Saccharomyces cerevisiae S288C: one gene and its partner. Changing the gene in region 1 together with any one later gene gives a genetic interaction. Each region holds a gene or a part of one and is shown on either strand. Other genes may lie near its edges. The genes, in order: GAT1 and GDH1.

What was found.
Region 2: of GAT1 (region 1) and GDH1, changing one suppresses a phenotype caused by changing the other (phenotypic suppression), as found in Saccharomyces cerevisiae (one study listed by BioGRID).

The regions. Positions count from the first base shown.
Region 1 is NC_001138.5:94,089-98,232, forward strand, and holds GAT1 (Gat1p), read left to right. Parts: upstream 1-1,877; coding exon 1,878-3,410; downstream 3,411-4,144. Other genes in the region: FRS2 (phenylalanine--tRNA ligase subunit alpha), read right to left, coding at 1-922. UniProt on the Saccharomyces cerevisiae protein: Positive regulator of multiple nitrogen catabolic genes.
Region 2 is NC_001147.6:1,040,855-1,044,978, forward strand, and holds GDH1 (glutamate dehydrogenase (NADP(+)) GDH1), read right to left. Parts: upstream 2,189-4,124; coding exon 824-2,188; downstream 1-823. Other genes in the region: aldehyde dehydrogenase (NADP(+)) ALD4, read left to right, coding at 1-545; YOR376W (uncharacterized protein), read left to right, coding at 2,337-2,705. UniProt on the Saccharomyces cerevisiae protein: Catalyzes the incorporation of an ammonium ion into alpha-ketoglutarate to form L-glutamate, the major route of assimilation of ammonia into an organic form in yeast.

The DNA of each region.
Region 1 (4,144 bases):
TCCCCTGTTCGTGAACGGCTTTGATATTGTCCATGTATGTCTTGTCATCGGGCAAGTCAGCGGTTAGTGGGTCCTTGATGTAGAAAGTGTCTTGCAGGTCACGAGCAGGATGCTGTTGTGGGACGTAAAGGGCATCGAAGTTCCAGAAACCTGTCTCGACGTATTGGTTCGAGGGCATCTCTGTGAATCCCATGGAAAAGAAAATTTGTCTAAATTCCTCTCTGACTTTGTTTAAGGGGTGAAGAGCACCTGAAGATATTTGCACACCTTGAGAATTGAAATTGTAAGGCTTGAACTTCAAGTCCTTGTATGCATTGGTGGAGACCATGTCGGAGGTAAGATCGGTTTCCAATTTGGTGAGGTCGGTCGAGAACTCTGGCCCTTTGGTAACGTTGAAATCTGTGATTTTACCTTGAGCAATTAACTTTCTTTTCTTCAAGTCGTTCAAAATCTTGGCGTCAATGCTATCCAGATGCGAGTTGTTCTTGATTTGCGCTAGAATAGATTGCGTTTCATCAGTAAGCTCATTTAAATCGGTATTTTGCAATTTTGCGGAGAGTTCAAGCTCGTTTGAGGCGTTTTTGGCGATCCAGCCGTTCTTGAAAGCTCTAGCCTGACCGACCTTACCAACTTGAGGACCCAGTTTGGACATCACATCTTTGATTTGAAGTTGACCCAACTCTTGGATGAGCTTGACTAGTTTAATTTCGTACGAACCTTCATTCAAAATTTGAGCACCTTCTTTGGTCAAGTCATACGTAACCGTGTCGACCTTGGAAAACTCTAACTTGTTGTGGGCTTTCAAAGAGTTCAAAGCGGAAAGAACATCTTGAGAGCCGTGCTGAGGGAAAGTTGCCAGTGTGGACTTGATCTCATCCAATTCATCTAGTTTTTTTAGAATTTCTAATTGGAAGTCAGACATCTTTACGTTAGGGGGTGAGAGAGGGAGGGGGGTGCCTTTAATGTATATATACGTAAGATATATATATATATGTATATATATGGAAATGTATTCACAACTTTACATGTGCATTAACCACAAGTACTGCGTACGTTCAAGATTACAGCAATGCGTTTTATTAATTTTTCAAGCATTTTTCACGTAGAGAGGAACAAAGTTTACTGAAAAGAAAAGAGGTAGAGAAAAACAGAAAAATTTTTTTTTTCTGTTTTTCCTGCCTCTTTTCTTTGTTTGATTCAATATGGTCGACCGGGTAAACCCCTGATAAAACGATACCAAAGCCGGGTCACCTAACTTATGGCCAAATGCGACCGGTCCCGCTTTCCGATTTTAGCCGGCGAAGACGTACTTGGCGCCATAATCAAAACCTAGCTTGCCCAATACTTCTGAGTTCTACGTGGTGCAAAAATATTTTTTTTTTTTTGAAAAACCTACCCTATTTCATTATAGATGCATCCATCAGTATTACGGTGTCCTCACACAACCCTGTCTCTGCACAACGTAATACCTCCTTTTCCCGTCTGCTAGCTCTCATTTCGCGGTAATCCAACTTCAACCAGCAACCCGGATCTTCTATACGCAGTCCGGTGTGTGGGTGCATGACTGATTGGTCCGGCCGATAACAGGTGTGCTTGCACCCAGTGCCCAACGTCAACAAAGCAGGAACAACGGGCTGATAAGGGAGAAGATAAGATAAGATAAGATAACAAATCATTGCGTCCGACCACAGGCCGACACATAGCAGAACGATGTGAAGCAGCGCAGCATAGTGTTAGTGCCGGTGCAGCTACCGCTGGTATTAACAGCCACCACAATACAGAGCAACAATAATAACAGCACTATGAGTCGCACACTTGCGGTGCCCGGCCCAGCCACATATATATAGGTGTGTGCCACTCCCGGCCCCGGTATTAGCATGCACGTTTTCTTTCCTTTGCTTTTCCGCCCTTCCCCTGTTCTGTTCATCGCATGTGCATATATATATATAGATATATATATACATTGTACACGGTGCACGGTAGTGAACATAACTATGAGCACGAACAGAGTCCCGAACCTCGACCCGGACTTGAATTTAAACAAAGAAATCTGGGACCTGTACTCGAGCGCCCAGAAAATATTGCCCGATTCTAACCGTATTTTGAACCTTTCTTGGCGTTTGCATAACCGCACGTCTTTCCATCGAATTAACCGCATAATGCAACATTCTAACTCTATTATGGACTTCTCCGCCTCGCCCTTTGCCAGCGGCGTGAACGCCGCTGGCCCAGGCAACAACGACCTCGATGACACCGATACTGATAACCAGCAATTCTTCCTTTCAGACATGAACCTCAACGGATCTTCTGTTTTTGAAAATGTGTTTGACGACGATGACGATGATGATGACGTGGAGACGCACTCCATTGTGCACTCAGACCTGCTCAACGACATGGACAGCGCTTCCCAGCGTGCTTCACATAATGCTTCTGGTTTCCCTAATTTTCTGGACACTTCCTGCTCGTCCTCCTTCGATGACCACTTTATTTTCACCAATAACTTACCATTTTTAAATAATAATAGCATTAATAATAATCATAGTCATAATAGTAGTCATAATAATAACAGTCCCAGCATCGCCAATAATACAAACGCAAACACAAACACAAACACAAGTGCAAGTACAAACACCAATAGTCCTTTACTGAGAAGAAACCCCTCCCCATCTATAGTGAAGCCTGGCTCGCGAAGAAATTCCTCCGTGAGGAAGAAGAAACCTGCTTTGAAGAAGATCAAGTCTTCCACTTCTGTGCAATCTTCGGCTACTCCGCCTTCGAACACCTCATCCAATCCGGATATAAAATGCTCCAACTGCACAACCTCCACCACTCCGCTGTGGAGGAAGGACCCCAAGGGTCTTCCCCTGTGCAATGCTTGCGGCCTCTTCCTCAAGCTCCACGGCGTCACAAGGCCTCTGTCGTTGAAGACTGACATCATTAAGAAGAGACAGAGGTCGTCTACCAAGATAAACAACAATATAACGCCCCCTCCATCGTCGTCTCTCAATCCGGGAGCAGCAGGGAAAAAGAAAAACTATACAGCAAGTGTGGCAGCGTCCAAGAGGAAGAACTCACTGAACATTGTCGCACCTTTGAAGTCTCAGGACATACCCATTCCGAAGATTGCCTCACCTTCCATCCCACAATACCTCCGCTCTAACACTCGCCACCACCTTTCGAGTTCCGTACCCATCGAGGCGGAAACGTTCTCCAGCTTTCGGCCTGATATGAATATGACTATGAACATGAACCTTCACAACGCCTCAACCTCCTCCTTCAACAATGAAGCCTTCTGGAAGCCTTTGGACTCCGCAATAGATCATCATTCTGGAGACACAAATCCAAACTCAAACATGAACACCACTCCAAATGGCAATCTGAGCCTGGATTGGTTGAATCTGAATTTATAGATCCCCCAAAAAAAAAAAAGTACTCGCTTCTTTCCATGTCCGCTTCATATATATATACACATACTAATCAAACTCTATGTATACATAGAATAAAAAGAAGAACACTATATTTATTTCATAAAAAAAAAAAAAAAATAACAAAAAAAGTGCAACATTTATCAAAAGCTCAGTGTGCGTTATGCTTCCATGTGACCCAACATCTATTGCGGCGGTGACAGAATAGTTGAAAGGCGCAGGGCTCACACACAGGAATGGCCCTCCCAAATTTAAAAGAGAACTAAACCAGTTATCCTAGGCAATTACTTTATTTGAGTCTTATATGACGTCACTAGAAGCTCAGTAAGAGCAACCGAGACCTGAACATCCTTTTTTTTTTGCTTCTTTATTTGGCAGCATTTTTCAAAAATAATAAAATGGAAGCCGCGAGTACGAACAATGATGTGTTCTGGGAATACCTCGTCAAAACAAGACAATGGCAAGGATTTTCTTTCATCAGGCAGAAAGATCTGGATCTGAATGGCATCATTTTGTGATGTGTAAAAGCGGGACCTTGTTATTTCGACTTTTTGCATCATGTTGATGCAATTTGCTACTTTTCCGACGGTGCGCTCCAACGGATGGGTATTTCCTTAATAACAAGGCATTTCTCTGGAAGTTGGCTTACTGTTTGAAATCACAGCCGGTCACAAAATAAAGTAAAAAAACTATCTCTCTCCACAAGAAGTAATTACAGG
Region 2 (4,124 bases), on another chromosome or scaffold:
AATTCATTGAAGAGTTCAAAGCCGCTTCTGAATCCATCAAGGTGGGCGACCCATTCGATGAATCTACTTTCCAAGGTGCACAAACCTCTCAAATGCAACTAAACAAAATCTTGAAATACGTTGACATTGGTAAGAATGAAGGTGCTACTTTGATTACCGGTGGTGAAAGATTAGGTAGCAAGGGTTACTTCATTAAGCCAACTGTCTTTGGTGACGTTAAGGAAGACATGAGAATTGTCAAAGAGGAAATCTTTGGCCCTGTTGTCACTGTAACCAAATTCAAATCTGCCGACGAAGTCATTAACATGGCGAACGATTCTGAATACGGGTTGGCTGCTGGTATTCACACCTCTAATATTAATACCGCCTTAAAAGTGGCTGATAGAGTTAATGCGGGTACGGTCTGGATAAACACTTATAACGATTTCCACCACGCAGTTCCTTTCGGTGGGTTCAATGCATCTGGTTTGGGCAGGGAAATGTCTGTTGATGCTTTACAAAACTACTTGCAAGTTAAAGCGGTCCGTGCCAAATTGGACGAGTAAGGTCATCAATAAGCCTGGTGTCCAATCGATGCTTACATACATAAAATTAAATATTCTGTCTCTGTTATATTTCCACATGTCATCATTTCAAATATATGTACTTTAAAGAAAATAAAATAAAAAATAAAATTTTTTTCTCCCGATAATCAATTTTCTTAATTAATTAATTGCGTTACGATTCCGTTTTTTTACTTCTTTTATCTCATTATCTATCTAAGTTATTTAAAAAAAAGAAAGAACTTTTTATGAACTTTCCTCTTTTCTTTCTTTTAGACTATTTAAAATACATCACCTTGGTCAAACATAGCATCAGAGACCTTGATGAAACTTGCGATATTAGCACCTTTGACCAAAGATGGCAAGACCTTACCGTCCTTAGTGTACTTCTTGGCATAGTCGATACATTCATTGAAACAGTTGATCATAATTCTCTTCAACTCTTGGTCAACTCTTTCGCTAGTCCATGTGATTCTTTGAGAGTTTTGTGCCATTTCTAAACCAGAAACAGCAACACCACCCAAGTTAGCAGCCTTTGGTGGACCGTACCAAACAGCTTCGCTTGGTCCAGTGGCGGTGGAACGAGCAGTTTCAAAGACGGCAATAGCTTCTGGAGTGGAACCCATGTTGGAACCTTCGGCAATAAACTTGACACCTTGAGCAACCAAGGCCTTGGCTTCTTCACCGCTGACTTCATTTTGGGTGGCACATGGCAAAGCAATGTCGACCTTTTGGACGTGGGTCCATGGACGAGCACCAGCAATGTATTGCACTTTGTTTTCGGAGAAAGTAGAGTATTCGTTGACGATTTGTTCCAAGGACTTGAAGTTGACCTTAGCACTGGAAATATCAGCGACTTGTTCGGAGGTGATACCAGTTTCAGAGATGATACAACCCTTGGAGTCAGATAGGGAAACGACAGTACCACCTAGCTCAATAACCTTCAAGGCAGCGTATTGAGCAACGTTACCACTACCAGAGATGGTGACGCGCTTACCTTCGAAAGATTCCTTACCGTTTGTGGCATAGTCGATCATAGCTTGAGTATAGTAAACTAAACCGTAACCAGTGGCTTCTGGTCTGATCAAAGAACCACCCCAGTTCAAACCCTTACCGGTTAAGACACCTTCCCAGGAGTTCTTGTATGATCTGTAAGCACCGAACAGGTAACCAATTTCACGACCACCAACACCGATATCACCAGCTGGCACGTCAGTGTCTTGACCAATGTGTCTGCTCAATTCTCTCATGAAAGCATAACAGATTCTTCTGATTTCGTTATTAGATCTTCCCTTCAAGTCCACACATAGACCACCTTTACCACCACCCATGTCTAGGCCGGTCAAGGAGTTCTTGAAGATTTGTTCGAAACCCAAGAATTTCAAGATAGACAAGTTCACGGAAGGATGGAAACGTAGACCACCCTTGTATGGACCCTTGGCGGAGTTATATTGCACTCTGTAACCTTGAGCAACTTCTTGTTCACCCTTGTCATTTTCCCAGGTGACTCTGAATTGTATGATTCTTTCTGGAACAGAAACAATTGGCAAAACCTTTCTGTATTCTGGGTGTTGTTCGAAAAGAGTAGAGTCTTCCAAAGAGGAGACAACTTCTTCGTAAGCTTGTTGAAATTCTGGCTCTGACATTTCTTTTTCTTTTTGGTCTCCTAACTGTTATATTAGAATAATGCGATAGTACGTATCAAGCAACTTTCAATGCTATAAGAAAAGTCATTTAAAGAGTGAGAGAATATAAAATGGGTAAACGCATTTGTAACTCTCGTATATTTTATATATGAAAAACAGAAAATTTTCCAATCTTCTCTTACTTAGATTACGTATACTTTGCTTTAACAAGAAGCCGGCCTTTGCTGCTACTTCTTACGCTTTCTTCTTCCGCAATTTTTCAGTGCTGATTTTCATTATGGTACCTGATGAAAAAGAAAACGGCGCAGCAGCTGATAACAGCTTCTCTCTGCTGATTGGACGTGGGGTCGTACTATTTCTTTTTTATTGCCCCACCGCACTGAAAATGCATGGGCCGGTTCCGGCGCATTGGTTCTGCGATAAGAATATCGAGGCCATCCAATCAGATGGTCAGATAAGGTTATTAAGATCAGGCCCGTTTCCATGGAGTCATGGAACCTGCATAAGGGGAGCCTGATACACTAGAGAATAATGACCTGAGTGGATGTAGCATCATATTCCTTATGAAATCCTCTTATCCAGCCAATCGTAAACGATGCCCTCCCCCACGTTATTGTTGTATAATTCAGGTTATGCCCAGATGCGGAGTGGTGCCCAGATCGACTCGAACGCATGGTCTTCTAGGACTCTTTATCGCAGCCCCATGAAGCAGTGCCACTTTATACTGAATGGAGTTACTAATATGGTTTGGCTCGGTTGGTATACTGGCCACAGCCCGCTAGAATAATTCAAGAAAAAAAGCCAATGCTGGACAGAATCACTGTAGAGTTTAGCGGACTTGAACCTAAAGAAGTTCATCTCCTTCTTGTCGGGAGCTTCGGTGTGCTAGTTTGTTACTGTCGAAGAGTCCATCATTAAGAGAAGTTTTCGAAGCTTCTGTCGCTGAACTACTGTATGCGAGATTACACTTTACAGAATAACTTGGGAAGCTGTCATTCTTGGTAGAATATGAAGGCTTTGAGTGCTGATCTAAGATCAGCTTACGCAAAGTTTCTTGCACTTACGCGATTGGAGCCGACGGCTTGGTAAAAATTTTCGAAATTGCAGGTTCTTGAAGCAGAGATTGTTCCGAAGAAACTTGGTTTCCAATCAGATAGAGAAGTGGGCTTTCTGGTCATGCCACGCAAGTTACAAGCGCGGAATTGCTACCACTTTACGTCTTTCTTCATGTTCCTCGGACGTTTCCAATCATTAGCCGTTCCTCTAGACATCTACAGATCTATTCCTAATCACAACCTATCTCTAGCCGCAAGATATATCTGTGTGAGAGGGGTCGCAACAGGAATACCTTAAATGGGATAACCGTCACGTGACTCTCACTAGGGGCATCAAGTGCGCTGCTTCTTCAAGGTTTTCGCGCCCTGTTTGAAGAAGTGGCACAGAATCCATAGAGTAATATTACTAACGAGCTACGAAACTTAGCTTACCTATTAAATACTCAAAGAAAATACGCTGTGTATGCTTTTGCGGCACATCTATGTCATTAAATCTCTCCATGGCGCGTATATTTTATGACGGGAAATCTGAGGCCGATCGAGGAGGGAAATTACTAGAAAAGCTTATCCTTCTTTACCTCCGAACAAATTTTAAAATATACCTCAATGGGAATAAAGAATGCAAGGAAAGGCAAGGTTCAGCCTATGATGATGAATATCGTACTCTAAAATTATAGATATCTAACTGTGGGCGTATTAAACCTTGCTTTGGTCATTATCCAATCGTGTATGCAGAGAGCGGGGCGATATGCAGCAAACAAAAGGGGCGAAATAATAGTTACTCCAAAGATGAAATGGCAGAAGAAAATGGAAAACTATACAGTTTGCGAAGGAGGCATCCTCTTAGTTAAAAAAAAATTTGGACTCATTGCACTGCAAAC